3 linked regions of the Saccharomyces cerevisiae S288C genome follow. The protein of the gene in region 3 binds, or shares a complex with, the protein of the main gene of each other region. Each region holds a gene or a part of one and is shown on either strand. Other genes may lie near its edges.

Region 1 (11,206 bases), on a different chromosome or scaffold from region 3:
ACAGTTCGTGACCAGTACTGTGGCGCTTATTCTCAGTTATTGCGGTGGAAGCATGAGGTGAAACTCTATACGAGTGATGTGAATTTGGTGCTGGCGAGTCGTTTTTATTTCTATGCTCTTGAGTTAACGTTGGTGAAGACAGATTTACTTCCTGGAAATTCAGATCCAATGACTGCCGCGGTTGCCTTGTTGATACGCTGCTGAAGTCCTTGCTTTTGAATTGATTAGACTTACTAGCATCACTTGATCTTGCCTGGTCTTTATGACCTCTTTCATTATGGAGTGGTCTTCTTTCAGCTGTTTTTCCTCTCCTTGCATCATCCAAATCAATATCAATGCTTTCGCTGGAGACCATACTATCTCCCAATTCGTCTGTTGAATAATTGTTCCTCTTACTGGAACCTTTGCGTCCAGAAAGCTTAGCTTGTTGAATTGATGCAGACGATGAAGACGATGAAAAGGAGGAGACAGCAGCACCAGTATCATCTCTTGATAAGTCCATCTCATTCAAACTTAAATTTAAAACGCCATTTCGATTATTGTTCGAGCCTTTGATAGTTCCTGAACCGCCGGCATCTTCGATACCGCCAGTTTGAGGCTCATTTGTATCTTGGAAAGATTGCTTTCCTGCATCTTCTTTTAATGGAGATAGTTCAATTAAGAGAGCTTCATTTTTAGAGGATGAGTGCATTGGTTCATTTGCAGAATTTCCTGCAAGAATTGGAGGTTCACCCCCCTGAGCATTTCTCATATCTTCTGTGGTATGATTTGTTCTATCAGAGACGTAAGTACCATTATTATTTGCATTTTGAATTTGCATTTGCTGTTGGACTTGCAGTTGTTGCTGAACTTGCATCTGCTGCTTGGCTTGCATCTGTTGCTTTGCCTGCATCTGTTGTGCCTGCAATTGCTGGGCTTGTATCTGTTGCGCTTGCTGCTGATTCATGGAAATAACAGGTCTCACCATTGGAATTGCTGGGGAATTTTGACTTGGGAGATATCCTGACTGGGAGTTCGTGGCGTAATTTTGAGAAATATTCTGAAAGTTGACTCTTCTATTACCACTATCTCCAGCAATAGTTCCACCCAACTGCATAGGTTTATTGGACCGATCCCTCCCAGTGTAGAAATTTCTTTGGCTATAATTAGCAGGTCCTTTGGGTTGGTCCTGTTGTTGCTGCTGTTGTTCAACTCTAGATTGATACTGAGATTCATCTGGAAAGGTATTCCCTTGTGTACCTGTTTGATTTTGAGCTTGCTGATATCTCTGGCCTTGCTGTTGTTCTTCCAGGAAAAAGTTACTTGCGTCATTGCTCAATTCATTCGTAGAATGGTATGCAACATTCATTTTTGGAAAGGGATTATTCGATTTATGTTGTTTCATCTTATTAATACCAGCAGTTTTCTCGTTCGCCAAGGCTTCGTCTGACCCGATCGTTGCTGCACCATATGATGTGCTCTTCATTGATCTGCCACCTGAAGAATAAGAGCTTGTGCTCTTTTGCCTCTGTGGTAGTGATTGGGTATTCAAACGAGGACTTTGTTCAGAAATAGTCGGATCACTTGATTGTTTGACCAATTCTTTGTCCAAATAAGTATCTAATTCGCTCACGCTTGGATAATATAACTCTCCAGGAGTTTTATTTTCAAAAATTGATTTGTCCTCTATACCTGGAGACTGGATTGTATTGATTTCTTGAGGATTATTGGCTGTACCAGAACTGTTAGCATTCGATGTTGTTCTTGACGATTTATCTTCGGACAGGGTAGACTTCCTCTGATCGGATTGACTTTCTTTCTCTTCTTCAAGTTCTTGGCCGACATTTTGAGATGGTATTCTAGAAACAGCGGCATGACCGTCACTAGCGTTCATGGGAAGTTTGGATGAGATTTCAAAAGAAGAAAGAAACATGTCATTCAGTAAGTTTTCTTCTGAGTCACTCAATTTATTGTTCTGCATAATTTTCTTTTGTTGTAGCTGGTACATTTGCAATTGAACATTTTGTAATTTATTCTGAAACTGCGTATATTTAGAAAAATTATAGGCACCTTCCGCATACTTATCCTCGATTGGAACTTCCACATTTAAAATCTCACATAAATGGTATAATACTTGATAAATGTTCGGTCTCAAATTTGGGTTTTCCGCCAACATGATAATGATTAAGTTGATTAGTTTTGATGAATATTTGTTGACAGGAAATTCATATTTGGAATGTAATATAGCAAATTGACCTGTCATTTCAAAAGGGGTGGTGAAAAATAATAATTTGTAAAGGAAAACTCCCAAAGCCCATATGTCTGATTTTTCGTTAATGGGCAGACATCTGTAAAGGTCAATCATTTCAGGGGACCTATACTGCGGAGTAGTATGCACATAGATGTTTTGAGTCAAAAGAGCAATATCTTGATGAGTAGTGACAATTGGGAAACATGTCGACGTGGACCCAAAATCAGCTAGCTTGAAATTGTTTTTGGCATCTACCAAGACATTTTCAATCTTGATATCGCGATGGATCAAGGACACAGGAAGGTAGTGCATTTGAGAGATAGAAAGAGCAACGTCATACATAATTTTCACAATTTCAGCTTCTGTCAGTTTCGTTGACAATCGTTGGTTCATATAATCTAGCAAAGATTTGTTTGGACACAATTCCATTAGCAAAAGAACCTCAAATCCTTGAACGCCATCACGACGGCGAGAGGCGTTGGAATCGAAGTATTGTACTATATTTGGGGCCCCTTTCAATTTCTTCATTACCTCCACTTCATTTCTCATCTCGTTCAATCCATTCTCATCTTGAACTAATACTCTTTTCAGACATGCGACATCGCCAATCTTTAAGGGAACACTTGCTGTATTATCAAATTCATTAAGATACTCTAGGAATTTCACCACGTAAATTTGAGCAAAGCCACCTTCTGCTAAATAATTTACCACTTCAACTTTATGTGTGCCTACGCAGACAATATGGCCTGGAGTGTACCTCTCTACCGCCGGATGGCCCATTGCCGAAACGCTTCTAGAAGTACCATTCGTGATCGACATGATCAGTGCTAATTAGAAAGAAAATAACAGGCGACAGGGACGAAAACAAGAGCTTGGGAAAACGTAATAGCAAAAAATGAATGGCAACTAAAATTATCTCTATGATGTCCTGTGTTGCTTATGCTCCCGAGGCACCGATTCTGATTCAACAATGCTATTGAATTTACTCATTCAAGAAAGGGGGTTCATAGGATTATGGCTTTTATTCAGTATTTTTAAGTTTTTTCGGTTATTGAGCTCTGAATAGGGCATTTTCAGAATGGCGGGGTTCACCTAAAAAAAATGAAAAACAAATATAGGTCATAACTCGTCTGAATTTTCGAAGAGCTCATCAGACGTTTTTCAGTAGGGTTATATGAGAAGTTTTTTAGTCGTTTTAAGATACATCACTAAGTATTGTTGGTTATGGGAAAGCAAAGCTAGCAAGCCTAGTACTATTACAATTGTTCGTGATATGTATACATTTATAGAGTATTTAAAACGGTTTTCAGAAGTTTTTCAAGTTCCGCATACGTGTAGGGTACCCAAATAATTTCCATTCCAGAATTGTTCTTAGTTATGTTGGCCATTTTATGTTCTATGAATTCTCTAAGCATCGACCTTAGAGCTATCTCATTAGAAGCAATAAAATCAGCGGCACAGAGATGGTTGAAAAGTTTAAGTTCTACTCCAGTTCTTTGAGTACCACGCTTAGGACCTGTGTTAGCGGATAGATTCCCCATATTCTGCATTTGTGTTTCAATAAGCAACTTATACATCTTCTTGGAGTTCACAGTAAGTGATTGTAAGACGTATTTCGCACCTTCAGCACCACTGCTGGTATCGCTTTTACCCATCTTCATCACATCTTGGAACGTAGACTCGACTGTCGACGGTTCAAAATTCGAAATATCATGAAAGACAAAGTTGTAGTTTTGGGCCTTCATGTTGTCCCAGAGGAGCGGAGCGTAAATGTGGTCTGTAGAGGCGACTATGGCGATTTGTCTGATGACGGAGAGGAAGCTTAGCATCGTCTGAAAAGTGTTTTTCCTTATGCTAGGACCATCCAGATTATGCACTACAAGTATTAATTTGATATCTAAAGGTTGATTTTTGTAGAAATCAATCATCTTTTGGATCTGCAAAATCACATGATTGCCCCAGTACTTAGTTTCGCTTCTTGTCAACTCAGCGGGGACCAAAAGATCGGTAATCTCTTTGAAGACGTCACGATAGTTACAGCTAGGGTTGTAACCATTTAAAATAAGGCATGGGATGGAATTTACAGGTTTGTTTTGTTGTAATTCATTCTCATAAGCCAGTTGCGAGTACGCGATTTTCGGAGACAAGTAGTCAATGGCAAACTCTTCCAAAAAATTACGTTTCGAACCTACACCATAAAATAATAAGGAGAATCCTTGAGTCAATTCAAACCAATACTGGGGAAACATTTTTTTCTGAATTTCAAATAACTTTTGCCTGGGACGTTTTTGAAAATTTTCGTTGAAAAAGTTTGATACTAGGGAAAACTCTTCTCTGGTAACGTCAGGTGCCATTGACATGGTGTGCCTTGACTTCGCATTAGTTCTGACAATTTTTCTTTGGTCGAAATATCCTTCAAAAGTATCCAAAAACGAGCTTGCTGACTTGGTTTCCGAAGTTTGGTAGAGCTTTTTATTTTTCGGTACAGGGGTTGGAGTAAAATTTCTACTCAAGGTTAATTTACCTGGGGAGGTTGAGTCTTTATATTCTTTTAAATTATTCATTATAATTTGCTTTAGGGGCGAAGTAAAATCATGATTAGTGGTTAAAGACTTCTTAGATGGTGTTGCAGGTTCTGGTGGCTCGGGTGAATTTGATACAAAATTATCATCAGTTTGTGGAGTCACATTATCTTCATATGTTGTGGTCGCTACCTGTATTTTTTCGCGTTCTCTTTTCTCTTTTATCCCCGTCTTTTCCATCACCTGCTTGTTGTTAGAAGTCTTGCTTTCCTCATTGACATTACCTGATGTATCTTTGTCCAATTTCCTCTTTTTCTTAGAGGAAATTGTATCTTTCTCATCCTTCTTGATCCTATCAGTTAATTCTTCCTGTATCTTTCTTGGTCTTCCACGTTTACGGGGAGCTTTACTTGGCGTTTTAGGTTTGAGTGCCGGATCTGGAGATGTATTTTTCCTTTCGTTGCCTACAAGCGAGATTCTTTCCAACAAATTCTTCTTTGATGAATGAATTCTTCTCAGTTGTCTTTCTCCATGTGGGTCAACCCTTTTTGGGGTTACATTCCTGCTTTTTGCCGGAGACGATAGGATATCATTATGCTCTACAAAGTCTTCCCCATTTAGCATGTTATGGCAATTCGCAGTACTACAAAAACTTGTTTTAAAGATATAGCAAATAAGATCAATGATCAATTATCAAATACAATTTCAGCTAATATATTCTACTTTGTCTTAATTTAAAGGTGGTTCCTATTTCTTTATAACTTTTACACATTGTGAAGAATAACAATTCTGCTTACTATTGTCATTTCCACCTCAATGATGCGGTGAGTGGGTGTTCTGAAAAATTTTCCCGATTTTGCTAGACTAGAAATTGGTACTAGCTGATCCATATCACATTTACGCGAATAAGTCGATATTTATGCATGGATATTTGGCCTTTTACGACACTTATTCTTATGATCCATTGAAAGATGGTTCATATTACATATAAAGGTGCCACAGCAAGTTAATGTCACGGCAGCTAGTGACGCTATTGCTAGTTTACACCTAGATGAGGCCACTGGAGAAATGGTCTCTAAGACAGAGTTGAAGAAGCGTATTAAGGGAATACAAATTGAGGCCAAAAAGCTGTCAAAAAGACTCTTGCGAAACCAAAACCAGCTTCGAAAAGACTAATTTCCTGGCCGGTTTATAGTCATCTCAATACTAGATCACAGCAAATCCAATTAAGAAACAGACTCTTGATATAAATTTTTATCCATACAAGTTCCGATTATATATATTCAATCCTGAATTTTTGGCCAAGTATGCCCATTCAAAAAGGCGAAAATTTCCCTTAAGAGAAGTTTCACATTGCTAGGAGAGTTCATGCAGAAAGAGAATCAGCTTAAAAATTGAAATTCTACGTTCTCAATGGTGGTGTTGAGCTCTAAATTATTTTACAATTTCAGGATTATTACGACGAGAACCCATAAAAAGGAGCATGACCTTTAAGGAGGAGTAATATATATCCACCAAAGAAGACCGGCGGAGATGAGATATATTTTTTTCGTTAACAGAGTGCAATTGACAACTTGTTTGCACTTGCCTGCTAACTGTTTTGGTTTCAAAGATCAAGAAAATAGATAGAACCCGTTTTATTATTCAATTGACATCGCCCGTTATATCAGACGATTTTTGGATCAAAAAAAGTTTATTGGAGCAGAAGCAATTCTGAAATGAAGGTCCTAATATGACCCCAATATGACACATAATTCGGAATCTGCCACTTGTGAGTTTTATCAAGCCTATGCGGATGTTTGTGACTAGTTGGATATGACTGAATTAATACTTTCAGAAATGGACAAGGAGATATGTGATTCTCTATTATCAAATACCATTTGAACCTTACTGGTCCAGCTAAAAAAGAGCTAGAATTCATCTGTTCTAGCCCATGGAAGAGAACCGATATGATTGGCAGATAGAAACCATACTGATTCGCGTCGTATCTAGCACAACCCACGTAAGAACCTTAATTGACGAACAGTCAAACCTTCTTGGCTTTTACAACCGAGAGGAAATACTAAGTCAACATCAAGGTGGCAAACACAATTCACAGTATCTAATTTTTCGTTATATCACATTGGAAAAAGTATTAACGTATAATTTCCATCTGCTGAGCACTTGCTGCCGTTGAGACCGGCGAATTTTTGAAAGAAGTGTATGCCAATAATAAATTGGAAAGCCCATTAAATAATGCTCTTATGTTGGATAAGCTTTCTTCGGTGGAATAAAAGGCACATGTATCAACCTGACTTTCACTTTTACTTAACCCCAAGCTATGTCTCCATTGGCCAGGTACTCAAAAGAACAACCGGGTTTATGTGAGCGTTTCGAGGTTTTTGTATCTAAAAAGGAGATATGTAATGCGTAAACCCGAACTGAACAATTCGTTTGACCAAAAGGGGCTTTCCTACAAACAAGCAGGGCAATAGGAGCAAGGCAAATGGATCAAGGTGATGCTTATGCATAATTTATACGATGGAATCCTTTGTAATGCTCCGTACTACGGTTTACCACCAACCGGCTTTTGGGTTGTAATATTGACAGATTCACCATGTTCTCAATGGTTCTGTCACAATTCGAAAGTTCTATTACTCGCAAATTCGAAAGCAGATGTTTTAAGAGACGAGGTGAAGTAAAAAAGAAGAAAAATGATTGCCATACTCCTCAATGCTTGCATGTAATATAATATAATATAATTACTGTTTCATTTTCTTTTATATTATACAATGGATATTCTACATAACCGTAACCTATATCGTTTTTAATGATTGCAAGGAAAAGTTGATTTTGTAGATAATCTTATAATGTAGTGACTTATTTAATTGTTTGATTAGAGGTAGTAATATTGCAATCAAACTGATCTAGTGAGTTTCCCGCTCCTTTTTAATTCCAAAGCTTTCTTGTAGGGAGGGTTCGTCGGGCTTTGAACAGGATCTAAGGACGATGAAGTGCCTGCAACCGAAGAAGGTAGGTCATGATAAGTGGCATCTGAGTCGAAACTTTGAAGACTTCCACAAGCCATAAATTCGGCTATGTTTCTCTCCTCTTCATTCCAATGAGACAATTTGTCTGATATACACAATTTATTCAAAAAACAGCCTTGAAAAAATTCATCAACGGATGTATTTACATCTAATTTTGGTGTCCAATTGGATGGTGGGTTATAGCCTAAACAAACAATAAAAGCTTCCAGAGATGTACCTCTTGATGATCTTGGCTTTGCGCAAACGATTTTATCGAATAGATAGCCCAATTGGGAATATAGCATATCTATATCACGACCTCTGAAGATCTTTGCCACAAAAGTTCCACCTTTTTTCAGAATGCATGCAGTAAGTTGCAGCGCACTCATAATTAACTGTTGTTGCACGTATTCGTCAAGATCGTGTAACCCAGTAACATCAGGTGCACCATCACTACAAACAAAATCGGCCTTTTCGTTGCCAAACAGTTTTAGAATCCTCGCCAATGTTTTAGGATGAGTGATATCGGCTTGCAACGTTGTCACATGAGGTATGGGGGACATCGGTTGTAAATCGACAGAGACAATTTTCCTGTCCTCCTTATCTGAACTGGGACTTTCATCAAACAGTTTTCTCGAGAGCACTTGTGACCATGAACCTGGTGCTGCACACAAATCTACAACTCTTTTTAAGTTTGGATCATCCAGGAAATGAAATTGGTCATTGAGTTGAAGTAGTTTGAAAGCAGATCTAGCCCTATAGCCCTGCTCTTTTGCTTTTCTATAGTACAAATCTCTTTTATCTTTGCTGCTCTTACCCATCTTGAATACTTTCTTTTTAAGCTTGCCTTGTACTCATCTACTGTTGTTTTACAGTAATGTTAGGAGCATCGCTTGAAAATTTTCAACTCGCGATAATTATTGTTAGCGCAGAATAATAATACCTAGTAAAAAGTTTATCGTTGCTTTTACTTCATCATGATAATCAAAATACTTGTAGGTCTGTCTTCTGTGAAAGAAGACGTAGTTACCTATTCTACTTAGGTTTGGTGTCTTTATATAATATAAAAGAAAGATATTAACCGTACATACCCCAATCTTCTTCCAGTTCTGCTTCAGTTGTATCAATCTCATTAATGATTCGGTGGCCCATAACATTATCTCTGCATAATGGACATGTTGTACTTCGAGATAGCCAGACAGACAAACACTCTAAGTCGAACTTATGATGGCAATGAGGTAATTCAACTACTAAGGGGTACTCATCTTCTAAATAATTAGTGTAACAAATGGAGCAGTTGTCAGTTGCTTTGAGCTTTTTTTTATTGATTCGTGGTAAAGAGGCTGCAAAAGTATCAGGACAGCCCGCACTCTTGCCTTTATCCATTTCTTGCAACCATTCTTCCTGTAATGATTCTGGAAGCATTTGCGATAATAATCGTAAAAGTAGTGTTGAATCTGAATGTGCATCACCCTCACCACTGGTGTTACCAAAGTTTTGAAATAGACCTTGCAGTTGGGATCTGACCTGTCTTCTCTGCTCCTCCTGTGAAGTTCCTCCTACTTCTTGGTAATCCCTTGAGTTTTGTTGTATTCCATGTTCCTCTAATCTAATGATGAGTGCAGATTAAAATTCGGTTAGTTAATTGGCTTTGGGGAACTTACTTCATAATATATCATTACATACCTTCATATGTAGACATTTTTTTGATTGTGATTATGTTTGATGAATATATCTTTCTATTATTTCTTTAGTAGTTTAGGAGTGGCAAAACTGGTATTATAACGAACTGAGCGCTCCTCGGTGCAAACAAAAGCCGCCCACAACAATTTTGACCAACTTAGGCAAAATGAAGCCATTACTAGAAAACGAAGAGTATATATCATCACAGTAATTCGGGTAGGAGAGTTGGTCACCAAAATGGGACTCATATGGAAGGCAAAAATTTCGAGCTTATTCATCATGGTTGTACCCGTAAAGTTTTTGTTTCCGATATATAGAGTACAGATGTTTTCTAGTTAACAGTTGGCATATCTTACATTTTCCGGATTATGTATCAAATAAACTTTATCTATGAATAGTTAGAGTACCACAGTAGAATCGAAGTTGCGCCTTTATCATTAACTAACAATTTTTTTGTGGGAACCGAACTATTATGTCTCCTGGAACAAATCTTTTGACTTTTAACCCGGAGCAAATTGCGAATCCTTGTCAAATTTTGAACTTCATCATAGCGGATAAGATCCTTATGAATCACTTCATCTAATCGCTCTCGTTTTTCTCGGTATGCTCCAGTTATTTCAATTGGGATGTTGTTATCAAAGAAAACTGGTTTTTCCATGAACATAGTCAGGAAAAGTTCGTCACCAAATTGGCTTTTTATAATCAAAAACGATTTACAGATATCACGAATTTCTCTACTCACAGATTTAGTATTATCTCGAGCAGTGAAGCTTCTCATAATTGAAATATTTCCAGGCGCGTATTGTCTGCCATAATGGGAGAGAGATACATCGCATCCCATAGGAACTTTAACCATTGTTTCGTTAATACTTTTTTCAATACCTTTAAACGGCGTTTCATTCGCGCTATCAAGTAATGTATTATTTACCACTGCTTTAAACTCGGGATTCGAGCCAGGTGATCGCGTTAAGACCTCTGTTGTATAATCTTTAGTTAATAAGTCGTACTCATCAAAATTGCCATAGGTGAAATTTTCATCGCTTTGGTTCAAAGTTACCATATTTTGCCTACCAATGCTGAGAACTGACTCCTTTGAATGTAAAACTGTGGATTCCTCATAATTTCTCTCTTCGGTAACGTCACTTCGATTATTGAGGCAGTCTTCATTAAAGTTTATTACAATGGATATGGTATCACCAGTCTTGAACCTACAATCATCTATTTTAGGTGAGCTCGTAGGCATTATTGGAAAAGTGTTCTTTCTCTTAATAGAAGAGATTAAATACCCGATAATCACACCCAAAATTATTGTGGATGCCCAGATATCTTCTTGGTCATTGTTTTTTTTCGCTTCAATCTGTAATCTCTCTGCAAAATTTCGGGAGCCAATAGTGACAACATCGTCAATAATAAGTTTGATGGAATCGGAAAAAGATCTTAAAAATGTAAATGAGTATTTCCAAATAATGGCCAAAATGCTCTTTATATTGGAAAATAAAATAGTTGTTTCGCTCTTCGTAGTATTTAACATTTCCGTTCTTATCATTGTAAAGTCTGAGCCATATTCATATGGAAAAGTGCTTTTTAAACCTAGTTCCTCCATATTTTAGTTTTTTATCGATATTGGAAAAAAAAGAGCTATCAGAAATCAGTCAATATATCATGTACCTATGGAACCTTATCTTTCTCAAAATAATAAATTATAGTGATACTTTTAGAATTGTGTCACTTTCTTTTTATTTGTACTTACAAAATTCGGCCGA
Region 2 (11,206 bases), on a different chromosome or scaffold from region 3:
TCTACAAATGGAGAAAATATCATGGAAAGTATAACTTTCTTGACAGAATTGGTCCTTCCTTTCCTCTGTTAGATTCGACAAGTATTCCAAAGTTGGTATGCGTTGAGGCTTCGATTTTATTTGTTTGGAGATTTTGGAGTGCGTGATTACTGTTAGAGCAAAGACAACAAGCATTATAGTTGACAATGTGTATTGATCAAAAAGAGTGAACAGCCCGAGTAAACAAAATTCCATGAAATAAATGCCCGCGTACAATTGCATAAGGGCCTGTATGTACAATTTACCGAACGTTTCAGAATAGTTCTCTTTGTTATATTGGTATTTGAACAAGTAACTGAAAGAAAAGAAAACCATCGAAAATGAGATGCAACATAATAATAATATAATAGGAGCAACAACACTGTATATGATACCAATACAGCCCAACACTGAGAATATAGGATAAATAGATCCTAGTTGGAAAAATAAAGATGTCTTTAACCTCTTAAATTGAGCATGTGGAGTACTCCTTTTCCATTTATAGTAGAACAATTCAAAAAGTAGCTCTTTTATTCTTAACAAATTACCGCCTGCATAAGCCATTCCCCTAATCAAAACAAAAGAACAGAAAAAGTTTGCGCATTTAGGCAAGTCGTTGGCCAGGAGAGCAGGGATACTGACAGGATTGTTAAGAAGCCTCTCAATAATTATAGAAAATCCAGAAGATATTGTAACAACTACGAAAAGATGAATGAAGACAAAGACGAAATACCAATTCTGGACATCAGCTTCTATTTGCGCTCCAGTTTTCAACCCTCGAAGGTAACTCAGCCAACGGAAAAAGTAGGGTACGATTTCTATTATTATTATTAAGGTTACTATTGGAATCAAATTCTTTGCCACTTCTCTTATAAATGGAGATTGGAAATGAATTATTTTTGTAAACGGTATTAGTGAGGAAATATTTGGTATTTGTGATATTAACCCAAGGAACGCGACAGGCAAAATCCAGCCTATAATCACAAAAATTCGCAATATATTTGCCGAGAAATATTTGGCACTTTTCCAAAGGGGTGATGAATCGAGGATATTTCTCCAAATAATGTCATTAACATTGGGGCCTATTATTACTTTTAAATTTTGGGTGGGTAGTCTATACGAAAGCAACTCACCTATAACGTTTGACAATAATGTGGACTTGAAGGTAATGAACATCTTATCCATATAAATGTCTGTGCCCGACGATAAATCGTCGGGCAGTGCCTGCTTGGTTTCTGAAGTTGCTTTCAAGGAATTTACTTGGAATTTAATGAGTTTTTCCTTGCGTATTATTTTATCAAGGATTCTGTATTTCCTTTCTAATATTGTTTCTGTATTTACATACAGTTTAGGGTAATATAACGGAAAGATGCTTGACTTTTTCCAGCGCAGACGAATTTTTGTGCAATAGTATGAAATTCTAAATTGAGTTAAAAATACCAATTTTTTGTACTGAAATAATAGATGGTTTTTCAACTTTGAAAAGAAAAATCTTTTGTGATTTGCTATCAAATGCCTGTGTATTGAAACTCTTCTAAAATATTTCTCTAAAATAATCTCAAAGATAATTTGTTCTTTTGATTTTTGTAATTTATTTAACTTTATTTCTAATTTGTGGACTTTCTTCAAATTTTTTGGAATGAAATGCGTCACGCCAAAGCAATCACTGTGTAGCGGCTGAAAAAAAGTTTCTAAAGAAATACTTTGGGTAACCAATTTACTTGAGAATCCTTCCAAATATAGAATGTTTTGGTATTTACTTTTCGTCAAAACGGAATATCCTAGTCGATTAACGAACCTCAGTTCCGAAGAAAGAATGAAGTGAAACCAGAGTACAACAAAGATACTCAAAAACAAGTGACAGATTAAAGTATTCGATGAATTAGGTGATAGATTTGACATGGTCCACTTGTCAAGTTTACTTGTCGTCCTGAAACTTTGCTCATAACGTTCACCTTCATTTTCTTTCAAAATATCCCTGGAAAAATAATGGATTGGAATTAGTATTGGAATGTTGATAATTGATAACACTGCAAAAAAGAATATCAAAAGTTTGAGAAACCGTAAAAATAGATAATTGTCTAGGCCATACCTTTCGTTTCGTTCGAATTTTTCCATAGGATCTAACATTCTTCCGGGAAGTTGCTTGAGAAATGCAAATAATGACCAATAATTTTTTATTTTTTTCTTAGCAAAACAAACTTTAGAACCTGGATGGATTTTCAGAACGACATTGGCCTGATATATAGTCTTGAATCTTGATCTTAAAATAATAAAGAGTGACAGCTGAAATAAAAAGTACAAAAAAGAAAACAATATACCAGATATGAACCCTTTTAGTGAGATTCCAGCATGTCTTTGCGCAGATCCAAATCTTTCTTTGTCTTGAAATTTATTCAGTAAATTAAAAGTCAGTTCTTTAGTAGCATTCATCTTCTTGGTAAGTCTTTTTCTTGTTTTTGAAAAAGAGTTCCTGAAGTTTGTCTACTGTGAATATACTTTGCACATTTGTTTAATTTTTAAACACGCTATAATTTGTGTCATAAAGAATTTTTTGTAGAATAGCTTTTTTTTTAATAGGAAAAAAAAATAAAAAAAGGTGGAAAAGACAATCTTTTCCAGAAACTTGAAACTATACTGGAGATGAAGGGTTGTCGTTGGTTGCGTTACGAGACAGGCTTGACAATTTCACAAGAGTAATGTTTCATTACCTGCTGTTTTATTATCTTTATATTTAGTAAGACCAGCAGAAACGCTACACGTGATGATAATGGAACTAAGCATTCTGTTAGATGGTAAGAATTTTTTTTACCTTCCATTACCACTAACGCCTTTTTTAGTGTCTTTTTGATATTTACTGACGTATTTTTCCGCACCGTAATTTGAAGAAAAAGAAAAGTGACAAAAGATGGCATTGTTTACATACAGAGTCGTAGTATCACAAGAGTAGTCCAACAGGATGAGCGACCTTAACCAATCCAAAAAGATGAACGTCAGCGAGTTTGCTGACGCCCAAAGGAGCCACTATACAGTATACCCCAGTTTGCCTCAAAGTAACAAAAATGATAAACACATTCCCTTTGTCAAACTTCTATCAGGCAAAGAATCGGAAGTGAACGTGGAAAAAAGATGGGAATTGTATCATCAGTTACATTCCCACTTTCATGATCAAGTAGATCATATTATCGATAATATTGAAGCAGACTTGAAAGCAGAGATTTCAGACCTTTTATATAGTGAAACTACTCAGAAAAGGCGATGCTTTAACACTATTTTCCTATTAGGTTCAGATAGTACGACAAAAATTGAACTTAAAGACGAATCTTCTCGCTACAACGTTTTGATTGAATTGACTCCGAAAGAATCTCCGAATGTAAGAATGATGCTTCGTAGGTCTATGTACAAACTTTACAGCGCAGCTGATGCAGAAGAACATCCAACTATCAAGTATGAAGACATTAACGATGAAGATGGCGATTTTACCGAGCAAAACAATGATGTATCATACGATCTGTCACTTGTGGAAAACTTCAAAAGGCTTTTTGGAAAAGACTTAGCAATGGTATTTAATTTTAAAGATGTAGATTCTATTAACTTCAACACATTGGATAACTTCATAATTCTATTGAAAAGTGCCTTCAAGTATGACCATGTTAAAATAAGTTTAATCTTTAATATTAATACAAACTTGTCAAATATTGAGAAAAATTTGAGACAATCAACCATACGACTTCTGAAGAGAAATTATCATAAACTAGACGTGTCGAGTAATAAAGGATTTAAGTACGGAAACCAAATCTTTCAAAGCTTTTTGGATACGGTTGATGGCAAACTAAATCTTTCAGATCGTTTTGTGGAATTCATTCTCAGCAAGATGGCAAATAATACTAATCACAACTTACAATTATTGACGAAGATGCTGGATTATTCGTTGATGTCGTACTTTTTCCAGAATGCCTTTTCAGTATTCATTGACCCTGTAAATGTTGATTTTTTGAACGACGACTACTTAAAAATACTGAGCAGATGTCCTACATTCATGTTCTTTGTCGAAGGTCTTATAAAGCAGCATGCTCCTGCTGACGAAATTCTTTCATTATTGACAAACAAAAACAGAGGCCTAGAAGAGTTTTTTGTTGAGTTTTTGGTAAGAGAGAACCCGATTAACGGGCATGCTAAGTTTGTTGCTCGATTCCTCGAAGAAGAATTGAATATAACCAATTTTAATCTGATAGAATTATATCATAATTTGCTTATTGGCAAACTAGACTCCTATCTAGATCGTTGGTCAGCATGTAAAGAGTATAAGGATCGGCTTCATTTTGAACCCATTGATACAATTTTTCAAGAGCTATTTACTTTGGACAACAGAAGTGGATTACTTACCCAGTCGATTTTCCCTTCTTACAAGTCAAATATCGAAGATAACTTACTAAGTTGGGAGCAGGTGCTGCCTTCGCTTGATAAAGAAAATTATGATACTCTTTCTGGAGATTTGGATAAAATAATGGCTCCGGTACTGGGTCAGCTATTCAAGCTTTATCGTGAGGCGAATATGACTATCAACATTTACGATTTCTACATTGCGTTCAGAGAAACATTACCAAAAGAGGAAATATTAAATTTCATAAGAAAAGATCCCTCCAACACCAAACTCTTAGAACTAGCAGAAACACCGGACGCATTTGACAAAGTAGCACTAATTTTATTCATGCAAGCAATCTTCGCCTTTGAAAACATGGGTCTCATTAAGTTTCAAAGCACCAAGAGTTACGATCTGGTAGAAAAATGTGTCTGGAGAGGAATTTAGATAAAGAATGCACGGATAAATAAGTAAATAAATAACCATACATATATAGAACCATAGAACCACGTTTTTGTAATGAACAGTCTACCTGTATCTCATCATTTTTCTGTGTTAACTATTATTATTATTATTATCGAATGGAGGGTAATATTATGTATAGGTAAAATAAATAGATAGTGCCATGATGCGCGAAGATTGGCAATGGGAAACTCAAGAAGGCAGCAACAAAAAAATAAAGGTGGCCTATTAATCACAATCTATTGCCTATATGTGCTAGGTTATGGGCAAATTCGGCACGACAAATAAATCAACGGAGAATCTTCTGCGTGATAAATTCGTACCCGAGACATCTCCAACTAATATTCCCACTGATGTACTCATCAAGCAAGGGCAAATAACGGATTCCACCGAATCACTAATTCATGGAGGCGCAGAAAGGTATATTGTTAACGCTTTAAAGCCTATAGAATTAAATAAAACTGAAGGCTTTTTCGAAGACCCGCCGTTCCATCTTCCTTCTCCACCGGTTGATTCGACAAATCTGGAGTATGAAGACGTTACCGATCTTCCTAAGAATGGTTTACGATATGATTTGAATGATATATCCGTTGAGGTAATCGAAGATTTATACCGCCAGATTGAAGCTTTTTTGGTTCATTTCAAACTATCCAGAAGTTTTTTACAAATTTTCAAAAACTATGTCAATATTCTTATTCAAGAAGGCATCAATCCTTTACGCGATGAGTACTTCACAATATTGGAAGATGAACTGAAAGGTTTTTTCACTTTCAATTCTGTTATAGAAGAGATTTTAGAAATATTTTTAATCCACCCTCGCAACAAATTCATTGCATTGTCCCTTGCAGAATATACCTACGCTAAGAACAAAATCAGAAGACATTTTAATCACTGGAAGACTGTATGTGAATTGAATGAAGAGGCAAACAGGTTTGCAAATCAAGCAAAGCTGAGGGTACAGGAAGCCGTCTTCTATATTTGGAGTGATAAAACATTAAAATACTCACAGATGGCCAACGATGAAGCTGAAAGTTTTAGGAATACTTGGCTACTATTTCGCTCGTTCCAACAATGGATAACTTTAACACAAACTCTTAAGGAGCAGTCAAGGTTAGCAGATCAGGCCTTTTTGAATAAGATGTTTAGGAAAATTTTAAAGGCACAAGAGCATTGGAAACACTTAGAAACTGTTAACACTGACAACATTAAGAAGATATTTTTACGAACAACATTTCATATATGGAAGCTAAGACATAAAGAAATAAACTACCACGGGTTGGAAAGAAGGATTTTCGAAAGAATAAAACAGAAAGTTATAAACTATGAATACAATAAGAGCATTGCAGAAAAAGTGAGGTCGTTTTCTCTACAAAGAAAATATCTGAATAAATGGGAAAAGAAAAACATTGAAAACGAAGATAAACTTGGGGCACTTTATGAACTGGAGAATAAATTCATCAAACAAAAGTTTTTTCGCAAATTAAACCGGTCATTTCAACATAGTCAACAAGAGGCAATTGCAAAGAGTAAACTAAATCAGACACTTTTGAGGTGCGTTTTTGAGAAGATGTGGCTGAAAAGATTCGAAGACCATCTGCATTTGTATTCAATTGTAAGTCTAAAAGAGGCTAACCTCGTGAAGCGTATTTTTCATTCATGGAAAAAACTTCTATATATTGACCTCAAAGCAAGCGATTATTCGAGGACTAATTTGCTCAAGTCATCATTGCGAAGTTGGAAACTTGAAGTAAAGTTAAAAATATTTGAGCAGAAATGTAAAAAGAGTATTCAAGCAAGCGCGTATCGTACATGGAGGAAAAGAATACAGTATGGGAAAATATCGAGCGAACATGTTAAAACGGCATTTTGTGCAAAATATCTTGGTGTGTGGAAAAGGAGGATGCTACAAATGAATTCTATGAATGACGAAGCATCCAAATTTTACGAAGAGGGTCTCGTAAATGAGTGTCTAGCTATATGGAAAGAACGCCTGATTAAAACTAAGGAATTGGAGGATAGATACAATTTCTTATGTAAGACACATGCAATTTTGACTGTAAAACGGACGCTAATGCATATTGATAATGTTCATTTGCTATATACGAAACTGGCGCCCTCTATGGATAGAGTAAAGCTTTCTAAGGCCTTTTTAAAGTGGCGGAAAGCCACAAGGTTCAAAGTCAGGCATAAGTTAAACGATATTTTACACGTTTATGAAAAGAGTAAAGAGCGCGAACTTCAAAGCCAACTGTTCAACGCTTGGCGAAATAGATTTTGCTTCTACACAGAAGAATGTAACATTCAGGCTATTTCAAAGAGAAACTACCAGCTTGAAAAAATGGTGCTGAAGAAATTTAGAGAAAGACTTTTAGAGATAGTAAAATCAGAAGAATTAGCAGACGAAGTTCGCGAAGAATTTGTGTTAGTCAAGACGTTTTATATTTGGAAAACTCATCTAGACGAAATATTTTATATGAGTACATTATTGGAACAATCGGAAGCTAATAAACAATTCATAATTACATCCAAATTCTTGAAAATGTGGAGTCTTCGATTCCTAAAAATTAAGCGTAATGATGAGACAGTCGAGGTGTTTCGTCATCGGTGGGACAGGGCCACTGTAAGGGGATTGTTATTATTATGGAAAAATCGTTCAGACAGTTCTCCAAAGAGAAGGAAGGACTTCAATCTTAAACATGAACTAAAAACTCCCATAAGATCAGACTCTCAAAACGCCTCAACCATACCAGGCTCAGAAAGAATAAAGCAGCACAGAATGGAAGCGATGAAGTCGCATTATAGCAGGGCAAGAAGAGCCATACCAAGTCCGGTGAAATCTTCCAGTGTTCTTGATTCTACAGCTAAAAAACAGATCAACCTTGAAAGTACGACAGGCTTAAACGGATCTCCGACGCGAGGAAAACCTCTAAGGTATTCTCCTAGGCGTACCACTAGAAACATGCCATCCAAAGTTGACCATATTGATTTTGGCAGAATACCCGCTGTACCTTTTAGCCTAAGCGCCAATTCTCCTAAAATCGATCAAGATATGGATTATATAAGAGAGCATGATAAATCCCCGTTAAGTCGTAAACGTCAATAGATATATATATTATGTACGTATGTATGTGTGCATATGTAGTCGTAACCTTTCTTGCTTCTGAGATGCATACAATTACTAATAATATTCTCCAGGTCTATGAAAACATCACAACATACTATACTTTTCGTGTTCGCGTTGTAAGCTATAATGGAAAATGGACGCCATAACGCATTACTTAACAAACTACAGTTTGTCAATAGAGTTGTCCAGTAGAGTTAAAAGGTCAATTCAACCGGTCTTCAATAAGACATGTCACTGAATGACTTCCTAAGTTCCGTGCTACCTGTCAGTGAACAATTTGAATACTTATCGTTGCAATCTATTCCGTTAGAAACCCATGCTGTCGTAACCCCAAATAAGGACGACAAAAGGGTCCCAAAAAGCACGATCAAGACTCAACACTTCTTTAGTCTATTTCACCAAGGAAAAGTTTTTTTTTCATTAGAAGTGTATGTGTATGTCACGCTTTGGGATGAAGCAGATGCCGAACGGTTAATATTTGTATCAAAGGCAGACACTAATGGTTATTGTAATACGAGGGTAAGCGTTAGAGATATTACAAAAATAATATTAGAATTTATATTATCAATCGACCCGAATTACTATCTTCAAAAAGTAAAACCGGCAATAAGATCATATAAGAAGATATCCCCCGAGCTGATTAGCGCAGCCAGTACGCCAGCAAGAACTTTAAGGATTTTGGCTAGAAGGCTTAAACAGTCAGGCAGCACCGTTTTGAAAGAAATAGAATCTCCACGTTTTCAACAAGATCTTTATCTCTCATTCACCTGTCCTCGTGAGATTTTGACCAAAATTTGTTTATTTACTAGACCTGCATCCCAGTACCTCTTCCCAGATTCTTCAAAAAACAGCAAAAAGCATATACTAAATGGCGAGGAACTAATGAAATGGTGGGGCTTTATTTTGGATAGATTACTAATTGAATGCTTTCAAAATGATACACAAGCAAAATTAAGGATACCGGGCGAAGATCCTGCTCGAGTAAGATCATACCTAAGAGGGATGAAATATCCACTATGGCAAGTGGGTGATATATTTACCTCTAAAGAAAATTCTCTTGCGGTATATAATATTCCATTATTCCCAGACGATCCTAAGGCTAGATTTATACACCAATTGGCAGAGGAAGATCGCCTCCTCAAAGTAAGCTTATCATCCTTCTGGATTGAACTACAAGAGCGTCAAGAGTTCAAATTAAGTGTCACATCATCTGTAATGGGTATTTCGGGATACTCTCTTGCCACTCCATCTTTATTTCCATCTAGTGCCGATGTTATTGTACCGAAGTCAAGGAAGCAGTTTAGGGCAATCAAGAAGTACATTACTGGAGAGGAATACGATACAGAGGAAGGCGCAATAGAAGCTTTCACCAATATTCGTGATTTTCTATTGCTCAGAATGGCAACAAATCTTCAATCTTTAACAGGGAAGAGGGAGCATCGGGAGAGAAATCAGCCGGTTCCTGCAAGCAACATCAACACGTTGGCGATAACAATGCTAAAACCGCGTAAAAAAGCTAAAGCCTTGCCTAAAACTTGATACATATTGATATTTATTATTTAGTACACGTATGTAGCATCGATCTTAGAAAATGCATGTTTGTATTTATTGTTAGTACCTTGATCGCCACCTTTCTAGGTAATGATAGGTCCTCAACTTTTACTACGCGGTGCACGCCTGTAAGGTCGGGCAAAACAAAGTGTGGGAACAATAAATAAGAGGGTAGGATGAAATATTACCTTTACTCTACTGCTCAGGTTGGCCACAATTTGCTAAAGAGTTTATCATTAAGTAGCTACCAGCGAATCTAAATACGACGGATAAAGAATGGCTAGTTTAGAAGATCTTATTCCTACTGTCAACAAGCTGCAGGATGTTATGTACGACTCCGGGATCGATACACTCGATTTGCCCATTTTAGCTGTTGTTGGGTCACAATCCTCCGGGAAATCCTCGATATTGGAAACGTTAGTTGGAAGAGATTTTTTACCTAGGGGTACTGGTATTGTCACAAGAAGACCGTTAGTTCTTCAACTTAATAACATATCTCCAAATTCTCCTCTAATAGAGGAAGATGATAACTCAGTTAATCCACATGATGAAGTTACAAAAATATCAGGATTCGAAGCTGGTACGAAGCCCTTGGAGTATAGGGGCAAGGAAAGAAATCATGCAGATGAGTGGGGGGAATTCCTGCATATACCAGGAAAACGGTTTTATGATTTCGACGATATCAAAAGAGAAATCGAAAACGAAACAGCGAGGATAGCCGGTAAGGATAAGGGCATCAGTAAGATTCCGATTAATTTGAAAGTGTTTTCCCCTCATGTTTTGAATCTAACGCTAGTAGATTTGCCTGGGATTACAAAGGTTCCTATTGGGGAACAACCACCTGATATTGAAAAGCAAATCAAGAATTTGATCCTAGACTATATAGCCACTCCAAATTGTTTAATCTTGGCCGTCTCTCCAGCTAACGTTGATCTTGTTAATTCTGAATCCTTAAAGTTGGCCAGAGAGGTAGACCCTCAGGGCAAAAGGACTATTGGTGTCATTACCAAATTAGATTTGATGGATTCTGGGACTAATGCTCTAGATATCTTGTCTGGAAAAATGTATCCTCTGAAATTGGGGTTTGTTGGTGTAGTGAATCGCTCGCAACAGGATATTCAATTGAACAAAACCGTTGAAGAATCATTGGACAAAGAAGAGGACTATTTCAGGAAACATCCAGTCTACAGAACTATTTCAACAAAGTGTGGTACGCGTTATTTAGCTAAATTGCTAAACCAGACATTATTAAGCCACATTAGAGACAAGCTTCCGGATATTAAAACCAAGTTAAATACCCTGATCTCTCAAACCGAACAAGAGCTCGCTAGATACGGTGGCGTAGGAGCTACTACTAATGAAAGCAGAGCTAGCCTTGTTCTTCAACTAATGAATAAGTTTTCTACAAACTTCATTTCATCTATAGATGGTACATCCTCCGACATTAATACGAAGGAACTCTGTGGTGGTGCCCGTATTTATTACATTTACAATAATGTTTTTGGGAATTCTTTGAAGTCGATTGATCCAACTTCTAATTTATCCGTTCTTGATGTTAGAACAGCGATTAGAAATTCTACTGGTCCCCGTCCTACATTATTTGTACCTGAGTTGGCTTTTGACCTATTGGTTAAACCTCAAATTAAACTTTTACTAGAACCATCTCAACGTTGCGTCGAGTTAGTTTA
Region 3 (11,206 bases):
TTGAATCAGGATACATTTCCAAGGGATACACCCTTCTCGATTCGTCAGATGATGAAGAGAAATCCTTAATCAAGTAGAGCTTTTCGCCCATATTTGTGGTAGCAATGATATTATCGCCTACTACAGTAAACGTCTTAACTGTACTCCAACTCTTAAATGTAAACCGGGTTTCCAAAGTGAGCCGCAAAGTCGTATTATTTCTCTCCTCCTGGTCAATGCAATGTTTTGTGACTTTCAACTTGTTAAAGGACATTTCGTTATCGGTGCCCATAACTTTATAATCCAGAAAGAATATTTCACCTCTGGGAGTAATGACCAAATGATTGAGGAGTCTTGAATTGTCAAGTTTATACGAATCTATTATTTGATTGGAAATTTTGTTTTTTGCAGCAGTTAATAAAACTAGTTTTAATGAGCTAGTAAAAGAGATCAATAATACAGTTTTCTTTTCTAAAGGATTGTCCTCTGTTGCTATTGGTAATTCCTTTATTTCTAGGATTTCTTCAGAATCATCCTTAAGAAGTTGAGAATCTAAACCAACTGCCTTACCATCTGATAGTCTAATACACTCCCATTCCCTCAAGTCCTGATTCAATACCAGCATTCGATTTATTTTGTCTAGATATAAAAATTTCTTATTTTTGCTTCTTGTAGATTTTAATAAGAAATTTCCATTATTTGATGTTAGGTATGATAGTTCGAGGATTCTTAAGCCATCAGAGTAGAGTATGAATAATTGGTTGTTTTCTATGTCCGGACAGACTTCAAGAATTGAATTGTTATTACCTAGGTGCGGTAATTTTAGCTTGTAAAAATCCAATTCTCTACTGTCGTGAATTGGCGTTAAATTGATGACAAAAATTTCAAATGCACTAAATGCCAAACATTGATTCACACCAAAGCTTCTAAATTTAATATCTTTCCCTTGAAAATTAACTCTGCTTGTACATCTGGATCCTTTTTTGAAGCAGTTGTTCTGTAAAGTGTGCACCTCAAAATATGATTCATAATCGAGAGAGCAAAAATAAGGGCCGTTTATTAACGCCTGCTGAACACTCAAAATATACACATCAGAAAAATCAAGTGAATCACTAATCCAGTCAGAAAAGGGTGTACGAATGACACAGTCTGGTAAAAGGATCCAAATGTCATACTTGGTTGGATCATCTGTAGACTCTTTGATTTGAAAATTGACACTCGTGACAGTTCCTAACTGCTTGAAGAACTTGCTCATGCCTTTGCTGCTGCTTAAGTTTGAAACTAAGGCGCCAGACTCATCAACAGCGTCTATATTTTCAATATAAGAGACACAGCCAAGCCCAGCATTCCAAACTATTAAAATACCATCATTGTATGTAACGTTTTCGAATTCCCAACCTGGAGAAATCTTACGCAACTCTTTGTCCCCACCAATGGGATCGATGTATATCGTATCCCTAGTTACTTGAATCAAGTTATTTTTCGTAAAATTTAGAAGGATAGTTTCGTTTTCAGTATCACATAGTAAATCTTCTATATTTATCAGTCCTTGAACGGGATCATCATTATCGATTGTCGTTGTCATAGTTAAATCTAATAAAAATATTCTGTTGTTAGAAACAGCGTCGGTCGCAAAAATTAACGAACTTTCGGTATTTGACTGGTTTATTCCAAGTCTCTGTAACAGAGCAATATCAAGGTTCTTACATTTCCATATCCTAAGATGTCTAAAAATTTGAAATTGCTTTAAGTGGATAAGTTGATGAGTTTTCCTGAGTTTATAATCAATGCAAGGTTGAGTTATTGCATTTGGTGAGGTAAGCCAAACTTGAGAATTTCTCGTGTCATTGATGTTAGAGCCTGTGTGTGTGTTATAAAATTTAGAAGACGTAAATGCTAAAATTTGAGAGTTCTCCTCTGTGGAACTATCAATTGTGTGCTTGAAGGTGATATTTTTCAAAGGCTTAATAACGTCTTTTTTATCTAAACATCTCAAATCTTCTAGAGATAATGTTAGCTCTAATGTTCTACTAAAACTTATGACCACCAGTACATAACTTGAGGATCTGGAGTCTAAATTTATCGGATTTGAAGGTAGTGGTGAAATGGATTTCAATCCTTTGAACCTAGTTAGCTCGTAAAATTTTAAATTACCATTTACTATTGTCGATCGTTCGGTGACGCAAAAACAAATATTTCCTGTCGAGGAGGATATTATGGTACAATATTGGAATTTTTTAAATGTATGTGGGTGTAGTTCTTGTAATTTTAATAACAATAAAGGAGCTGGAAAAAATGACTTGATTCCCTTGAGAGCCTTCAATTGGAATGAGTGGAATTCAGTCTCTCCTGACATAATTTGATTTGCAGAAACTAAAGAGAACTTTAGGGGTGTTTCGACTAAACATGCATTTAGTCCAATGGGTATTGTCATATTAGTCTTCTCACCATCAAATACTGTCAATTGATATACCTCTTTTTTCTTTATTTCGTTGTTGTTCCATTCTATGACAAAGTAGACTATCCTTTCATATCTTATGGCTGTTATAAATATAATGAAATAGGGATCTAAATCAGTGTAATTTGTTGGGAAAAAGGATCCGTTCATAATCACGGAATCGGTCAATGTTAAATTGTTTACTAATTGAAAAGTAAATGGTAAATGGAATTCAAAAAATTTGCAAATGCCTAGTTCCTTATGTATAAGAACAAACTGCTTCTCGTTTTGGTGCTTGATTATGTTCCACTGACCTTTTTGTCCCAGGTTCCAATATTGTAGCAAATATGTCTCTTTACCGTCATCAAGCGGTAAAATAGACAATAAGTGACCACTTGGTTGAGTGAGTAATATTAAAATTGCAACGTTGTTGGGTTTTATAGCTATGCTGCCAGATATGCCAGACTGTATGTATGTTATTGAAGTGCTACCTGTTTGAAAGATTCCATTGTTGGATACTATTAAACTGAAATGCTTTTGTTGGATTTCTTCCAGCGCCTGCAATTCAATTTTTGGTTCTTTAACATTACCGCTGTCACTGCTCATTTCTATGTCATCCAATGCTTCTATATCTGAATCATCTAAGGTTTCTGGGTTTTTATCAATGTCAAAAAGACTACCTATTAGTGTGTTATACTTTTGAGGGAAGCCGTCTGACAGTTCAGAACGTTCTTGCAAAATGTATTTTAATACTGGTTTAAAATTTATCGGACTTGAGATTGGATAACAAAATTGAGGCATTTGACCAATATTCGAATCGTGATATCTGAGCATCATCATTGATGGTTCTAGCTTTGGCCCTACACAAGGTCTCACCCAAGTTTCATCCTCGGTATTTTGATAAAAAAGCTCAGGTTCATTCCACTCACGTGTGGTGCTTGAATCAATTAATAAATTGGGGGAAACTCGGAATGACTTATGATTCAACCAATCTTGCAGCTCAAGTTTGCCAAAATCCGACGGGCGACGAATATAATGTTCATACCTGTCTAAACCATGAGTTCGCAAACCTAGCATACCTAATTGACACCGTACTACTTTAATTAGACCCAGAAACGAAACGGAATGTGAAGCGATTTCTTCTCTTCTTCCAATTCTTTTGCAGAGCCCATCTCTGGCAAAGGGCCATTTGTTGGAAATCACTCTAACATGGCTTCTGTTTCCCGATAATATGCGGGTAATGCCTCGCACTTCCTTTGGTTTTGAATTTATGCTATTCTCTTTCTTTGCACATCTAACTTGAAGTGATTAGTACCAGATTGAGCTCAGCTTCTCAAAATTATTTCGAACATATCAATTTAGTTTGTAAGTCATAAAAATCGATATTTTTTGCTTTTTCCTTTTTTCCTAAATCTTCTTGACTGCTTGCAATCTTTGTATCTTCATCTTTCCTTTCTCATGTTTCCAAATTTAGCCTGTATATTCATAGAGACTTCTTAAAGTAAATTTTGGCAGGATAATAGGGTACTGAAATCTATGTTGCTTTTTATATCCTGGCGCTACTTAGCCGCCCAACCTTTTTGTCTTCTTGTCTTTTTTTCTTTTTGGCTTTATTTCTCATCAGATCACGCACCACGGAATGAAAATTTTTTTGCGGAAATCAGCATCGCTAAAGAAAAGCAGAAATAGAAGCAGAAGAGATAGATATAACTACAGAGTTAGAGAAGATCAGTAGACCAATAAGCGGGATTATCATAAAACTCGAGTTTATATTAGCTTTCATCTGTCTTTAGGAAAATAATACCATAATAAAAAGGACACATCATGGCTCCACCAAAGAAAACCGTAAAGAAGATGGACCTTACGTCATTTTTAAATGATGACACCTTTGGTTCATCTTGGGCTGAAGAAGATGTCGATTTGAATAAGATCACAATTCCTATTGAAACCGCTAATGCAAACACTATTCCATTGTCCGAATTGGCTCATGCTAAAAACAACAGCAATAACACGCGTTCAGGCGGCTTTGGTGGCAGTTTTGGAGGTAGATCTAGATTAGACCCTGCTTTGGGGGGCGGTTCTTCCGATAGAAGAGAGGAATACCCTGTTCCAGATGCTCCACCATATAGGGCTGTCATAAACAACATTCCATGGGATATTACCCCAGAGGGTGTTCAAGCCTGGGTTGAAGATGGTTTAGTTAAGCCTGAAGCGGTTGAAGAAGTTGTTTTGCCAAAGAATCTAAGAGACCCAACAAGATTAAAGGGTAATGCTTTCGTTACTTTGAAAGAAAGAGCAGATTTGGTCGCCGTTCTGAAGTTCAACGGTACTAAATTGAATGAGAGAACTGTTTACGTTTCTGTTGCGGCTCCAAGAAGAGGGGGAGGTGCAGATGTTGATTGGAGTAGTGCTAGAGGCTCCAATTTCCAAGGTGATGGAAGAGAAGATGCACCAGATCTTGATTGGGGTGCCGCTAGAGGTTCTAACTTCAGAGGTCCAAGAAGAGAAAGAGAAGAAGTTGATATTGACTGGACTGCTGCAAGAGGTTCCAATTTCCAAGGCTCTTCCAGACCACCAAGAAGAGAAAGAGAAGAAGTTGATATCGACTGGAGCGCTGCAAGAGGCTCCAATTTCCAAGGCTCTTCCAGACCACCAAGAAGAGAAAGAGAAGAGCCAGATATTGACTGGAGTGCAGCTAGAGGCTCTAACTTTCAAAGCTCCTCGAGGCCACCAAGAAGAGAAAGAGAAGAGCCAGATATTGACTGGAGTGCAGCCAGAGGTTCCAACTTCCAAAGCTCCTCAAGACCACCAAGAAGAGAAAGAGAAAAGGAAGAACCAGCTTTGGATTGGGGTGCTGCCAGAGGTGCTCAGTTTGGTAAGCCTCAACAAACCAAAAATACCTACAAGGATAGGTCTCTAACTAACAAAAAGACTACTGATGAGCAACCAAAAATCCAGAAGTCTGTTTATGATGTTTTACGTACTGAAGATGATGATGAAGATGAAGAGGCTGAAAAGCAAAATGGAGACGCAAAAGAAAACAAAGTTGATGCGGCAGTTGAAAAGCTACAGGATAAAACTGCTCAATTGACTGTTGAAGATGGTGACAATTGGGAAGTTGTTGGTAAGAAATAGAGTGTTGTATGATGATAAAATGTACATTTGTATTTACTGTTTGCTTTTTTTCTTTCTTGTTTTTCTACTCTCCTTTCTACCAGGTATTCTAACTCTATTATATAATTAAAAAAAAAATAACCATATATTTTGTATTAAGTTTCATACATGTGTTCAAGTGTATTTTTGGATTTATCATTTTTCTATGTGAGGTAAGTTTTTGAATGTCCCATTTTCCTTTCGTTTTTGGAAAGTTCTAAGAAAAAGCATTAACAATTAAAAAAAAAAAAAAAATCTAAATAATACTGATAGAAATATCAAATATAAACTACTAATATCGGTAATATTCAAAAGAAGAAGCATGACTATAAGCGAAGCTCGTCTATCACCGCAAGTCAATCTTCTCCCAATAAAGAGGCACTCAAACGAAGAGGTAGAGGAGACTGCAGCGATTCTAAAAAAGCGTACTATAGATAATGAAAAGTGTAAAGACAGCGACCCTGGTTTTGGTTCCCTTCAAAGAAGGTTACTGCAGCAACTTTATGGCACACTTCCTACGGACGAAAAGATAATCTTCACATATTTACAAGATTGTCAACAAGAGATCGATAGAATCATTAAACAATCCATTATTCAGAAAGAGAGTCATTCAGTAATTCTCGTGGGGCCCAGACAAAGTTACAAAACATACTTATTAGACTATGAACTGTCTTTGTTGCAACAATCTTATAAAGAGCAGTTTATAACTATCAGGTTGAATGGGTTTATTCACTCCGAACAAACAGCTATTAACGGTATAGCAACTCAATTGGAACAGCAGTTGCAGAAAATTCATGGCAGTGAAGAAAAAATTGACGATACTTCATTAGAGACTATTAGCAGTGGTTCTTTGACAGAAGTGTTTGAGAAAATTCTTTTACTCTTAGATTCGACCACGAAGACAAGAAATGAAGATAGTGGTGAGGTTGACAGAGAGAGTATAACAAAGATAACAGTTGTTTTTATATTCGATGAAATTGATACATTTGCTGGGCCTGTGAGGCAAACTTTATTATACAATCTTTTTGACATGGTAGAACATTCTCGGGTACCTGTTTGCATTTTTGGCTGCACAACGAAATTAAATATCTTGGAATATTTAGAAAAGAGGGTAAAGAGTAGATTTTCTCAAAGAGTGATTTATATGCCGCAAATACAGAATCTAGACGATATGGTTGACGCCGTCAGAAATTTACTTACAGTTCGCTCTGAAATCTCCCCCTGGGTTTCACAATGGAATGAAACGTTGGAAAAAGAACTATCCGACCCTCGATCGAATTTGAATAGACATATTAGGATGAATTTCGAAACCTTTAGGTCATTACCTACATTGAAAAATAGCATAATTCCATTAGTAGCGACATCCAAAAATTTTGGTTCACTCTGCACTGCCATAAAATCGTGTTCTTTTCTTGACATATACAATAAGAACCAACTATCTAATAATTTAACAGGAAGGCTCCAATCTTTATCCGATTTAGAGTTAGCCATTTTGATCTCAGCCGCTAGGGTTGCCTTAAGGGCGAAAGACGGATCTTTTAATTTTAATTTAGCTTATGCAGAGTATGAAAAGATGATTAAAGCTATCAACTCCAGAATTCCCACCGTGGCTCCTACTACAAATGTGGGAACAGGTCAAAGTACTTTTTCTATCGACAATACTATCAAACTATGGTTGAAAAAGGACGTCAAGAACGTTTGGGAAAATTTAGTGCAACTGGATTTTTTTACCGAGAAATCAGCCGTTGGTTTGAGAGATAATGCGACCGCAGCATTTTACGCTAGCAATTATCAATTTCAGGGCACCATGATCCCGTTTGACTTGAGAAGTTACCAGATGCAGATCATTCTTCAGGAATTAAGAAGAATTATCCCCAAATCTAATATGTACTACTCCTGGACACAACTGTGAATCTTGGGAACAATATACAGACATTTTATTGGCGGTAGCAACTCTGATATTCCACTGTTCAGCTTTCCTAATAAGTAAGTTCAAGATTATGTGGTCATCGCGTCGAACGGAAATACACCCATACACCAAACCTCTGTGAATTTGAAAAATTCACATATGCATTTAATAGAGCATAGGCAATGTAGAGAGAGAAATTAACAATGGTGAAAAGAAATATTACCAAACACCAGCAAAAGAAATTGTATAGTATTAGCAGTACATTCGTGGTCAAGCAGAATAACAGTAAAATAATATGAGTGATAATGGTTCCCCCGCGGTTCTTCCAAAAACCGAATTTAATAAATACAAAATCGGCAAAGTGAAGAGTACACCAGCCATCCAGCGAGATGCGAAGACTAACTTAACATACATCAAACTAAGAAAAAGAAGTAGTGAGAAAGTTTACGGGTGTACAGTTTTCCAGAATCATTATCGTGAGGATGAAAAATTAGGACAAGGAACATTTGGTGAGGTTTATAAGGGAATTCATTTAGAGACTCAAAGACAAGTGGCAATGAAAAAAATTATAGTTAGCGTTGAAAAAGATCTGTTTCCTATAACTGCACAACGAGAAATTACTATTTTAAAGCGTTTAAACCACAAAAATATTATTAAACTAATCGAAATGGTGTATGACCATTCACCGGATATTACAAATGCGGCATCCAGCAACCTACATAAGTCATTCTACATGATCCTGCCGTATATGGTAGCAGATCTGTCGGGCGTTTTGCATAATCCGAGAATCAACTTAGAGATGTGCGATATAAAGAATATGATGCTACAAATATTAGAAGGCCTAAATTATATTCATTGTGCAAAATTCATGCATAGGGATATAAAGACAGCAAATATTTTGATTGACCACAACGGTGTTTTAAAGCTTGCTGATTTTGGTTTAGCAAGATTATATTATGGCTGTCCTCCAAACTTAAAGTATCCTGGTGGTGCAGGTTCCGGCGCCAAATATACATCAGTAGTCGTAACGAGATGGTATAGAGCACCTGAGTTGGTGCTTGGTGATAAACAGTATACAACAGCTGTTGATATATGGGGTGTCGGATGCGTTTTCGCAGAATTTTTTGAGAAAAAACCTATTTTACAGGGAAAAACGGATATTGATCAGGGACATGTTATTTTCAAACTACTTGGTACACCGACAGAAGAAGATTGGGCCGTGGCTAGATATTTGCCAGGTGCTGAACTAACAACAACTAATTACAAGCCAACGTTGAGGGAAAGATTTGGTAAATATCTAAGTGAAACAGGTCTAGATTTTTTAGGACAGTTGTTAGCGTTAGATCCTTACAAGAGGTTGACCGCTATGTCTGCTAAACACCATCCTTGGTTTAAAGAGGACCCTTTACCATCAGAGAAGATAACATTACCGACGGAAGAAAGTCATGAAGCTGATATTAAGAGGTACAAGGAAGAAATGCACCAATCATTGTCCCAAAGAGTACCTACTGCGCCAAGAGGTCATATAGTTGAAAAGGGTGAATCACCTGTCGTGAAAAATCTTGGGGCGATCCCAAGAGGCCCCAAGAAAGATGACGCAAGTTTTTTGCCTCCATCAAAGAACGTATTGGCTAAGCCGCCTCCTTCGAAAATAAGAGAACTACATCAAAATCCTAGACCGTATCATGTGAACAGCGGATATGCTAAAACTGCGATTCCACCGCCAGCAGCCCCTGCAGGAGTTAATAGATACGGACCCAACAATAGTTCCAGAAATAATCGCTTCAGCGGCAACAGCACTGCACCCAACAACAGCAGGAATCCCGTAAATCGATTTCATCCTGAGACAAATGTCAGCTCTAAATATAATAAAGTACCTTTGCCATTGGGGCCTCAGTCAAGATACCAGGGTAATTCAAATGAGTCCCGGTACAAAAACTCGCCAAATGACTCTAGATATCATAACCCTAGGTACGTGAACAAGCCGGAAACCAACTTCAATAGGCAACCACAGAAATATAGTCGCCAAGAATCCAATGCGCCAATCAATAAAAATTATAATCCTTCAAACGGTTCTCGCAATATGGCTGGTGATCATCATCAAGGCTCGAGACCTTCTCATCCACAATTCCCAATCTCGCCCTCACAGGGGCAGCATCAGCTTACGAGTAAACCAATAGAGAAAAAAAATGGAAGCTTTAAGGATGAAAGAGCGAAACCAGATGAGTCTAAGGAGTTCCAAAATAGTGATATTGCAGATCTATATTAGGTTATACTATTCTCTCTTCCTTTCTGGCCTCGTGGCTAATTACGGAAAGTTGTATACTGACTACTATGTAATCTATCACGTTTTGTCACTGTCTCGCTCTTTTCAAACAATCCATAAAATCGAAACTATTGTCAAAACGTCAGTACATCCTACCTGATAGGGACTGTACCAATGTCAACGTTCGAGTAAGTGATAATAAGGACCGCCTTACCCACCTTCAGGACACTCGGTTTTACACAAGCGTTATCCTGCGCGGATTTTCAATATGAAAACAACTAAGTTTTCCTGTAACATCATATATACCATTTAAAAGAGTGCCAAAAAACCGATAACGATTATTTTAAAGGCGTTTTATATAAGAGAAGAAGTAAAGAGAAAAAAGCGCTTACTAGAAATGGGGAGAAGGGTGCCAAAGAGATAAAAAAAACTCCCAGCTAAGTCACTGGTTCAACGTTCCAAATGGTATCGGAGTATTCCTCGATACAACGATCACTGCTAAAGAAGCCGACGTTTGCAACGCTCAGGACACTCTTTTTTAACCATTCTGACCTTTGATTGTGGAACTCCTGGTCCACTAATTCATGGGTGGCCAGATAGGATTCAAAGTCATCACTGACCAGGTAATAATCGCCGTGGTACTTAATACTGTCGACTAAAGGTTTGAATTCATTTGGATTTTCTGGAGAAAATTGTCCACTTTCAATGTAGGATAAAACAGAATCCAAACTAGATGGTAAATCTTGTGGATGGTATTGATGGTTGTATCTCAATTCTTCGACATTTTCACTTAGGTTACCAAACAAGAAGACATTATCTTCACCAATTTCCCTTGTGATTTCCACATTGGCACCATCAACAGTACCAATAATCAAACCACCGTTCATAACAAACTTCATATTAGAAGTACCAGACGCTTCAGTACCAGCAGTAGAAATATGCTCACTCAAGTCACTTGCTGGAATAATGATTTCAGCCTTAGAAACATTATAATCAGCAACAAAGACAACCTTCAACAAATGCTCAATTGACTCGTCGTTATTAACAATGTCAGCAACACAGTTGATCAATTTTATGATCAGCTTAGCCATGTAGTAACCAGGAGCACTCTTACCACCAAAGATTGAAACCTTGCGTGGATATTTCTTGGCAACTTCTTCGATCGAAGCACCGTTCTTCAGCATATTCTTCATTGCCAGGTAACGGTATATAATACCAAAGACGTTTAGCTGTTGACGCTTATATTCATGAATACGTTTAACTTGCATATCAAACAAGGTGTCGTCCAAATACTCTCTGTTAATGATGTCTACTCCATCATTTTCCTTTTTGATTAAATCTACTAATCTGATCTTATTATTAAGCTTGACTTGGTTCCATTTTTTCAAAAACTCCTTATCTTCAACATATTTTCCCAACTGGGTCAGTTTGGCCATGTCCAACAAATACTCCTCTGTTGGAT

Evidence for each region.
Region 1: ORC4 (region 3) and ORC2 share a complex: the UniProt entries of both Saccharomyces cerevisiae proteins name them as parts of the origin recognition complex.
Region 2: ORC4 (region 3) and ORC3 share a complex: the UniProt entries of both Saccharomyces cerevisiae proteins name them as parts of the origin recognition complex.

Annotation. Positions count from the first base shown.
Region 1 is NC_001134.8:357,139-368,344, forward strand, and holds ORC2 (origin recognition complex subunit 2), read right to left. Parts: upstream 5,377-11,206; coding exon 3,514-5,376; downstream 1-3,513. Other genes in the region: serine/threonine protein kinase AKL1, read right to left, coding at 1-3,049; tRNA methyltransferase TRM7, read right to left, coding at 7,649-8,581; YBR062C (uncharacterized protein), read right to left, coding at 8,838-9,364, 9,447-9,462; CNM1 (Cnm1p), read right to left, coding at 9,832-11,046. UniProt on the Saccharomyces cerevisiae protein: Component of the origin recognition complex (ORC) that binds origins of replication. It has a role in both chromosomal replication and mating type transcriptional silencing. Binds to the ARS consensus sequence (ACS) of origins of replication.
Region 2 is NC_001144.5:138,096-149,301, forward strand, and holds ORC3 (origin recognition complex subunit 3), read left to right. Parts: upstream 1-2,977; coding exon 2,978-4,828; downstream 4,829-11,206. Other genes in the region: SPO75 (Spo75p), read right to left, coding at 1-2,451; SFI1 (Sfi1p), read left to right, coding at 5,106-7,946; H3 histone acetyltransferase RTT109, read left to right, coding at 8,196-9,506; dynamin-related GTPase DNM1, read left to right, coding at 9,795-11,206. UniProt on the Saccharomyces cerevisiae protein: Component of the origin recognition complex (ORC) that binds origins of replication. It has a role in both chromosomal replication and mating type transcriptional silencing. Binds to the ARS consensus sequence (ACS) of origins of replication.
Region 3 is NC_001148.4:862,990-874,195, reverse strand, and holds ORC4 (origin recognition complex subunit 4), read left to right. Parts: upstream 1-5,891; coding exon 5,892-7,481; downstream 7,482-11,206. Other genes in the region: MMS1 (Mms1p), read right to left, coding at 1-3,493; TIF3 (Tif3p), read left to right, coding at 4,241-5,551; cyclin-dependent serine/threonine protein kinase SGV1, read left to right, coding at 7,774-9,747; GPH1 (glycogen phosphorylase), read right to left, coding at 10,182-11,206. UniProt on the Saccharomyces cerevisiae protein: Component of the origin recognition complex (ORC) that binds origins of replication. It has a role in both chromosomal replication and mating type transcriptional silencing. Binds to the ARS consensus sequence (ACS) of origins of replication.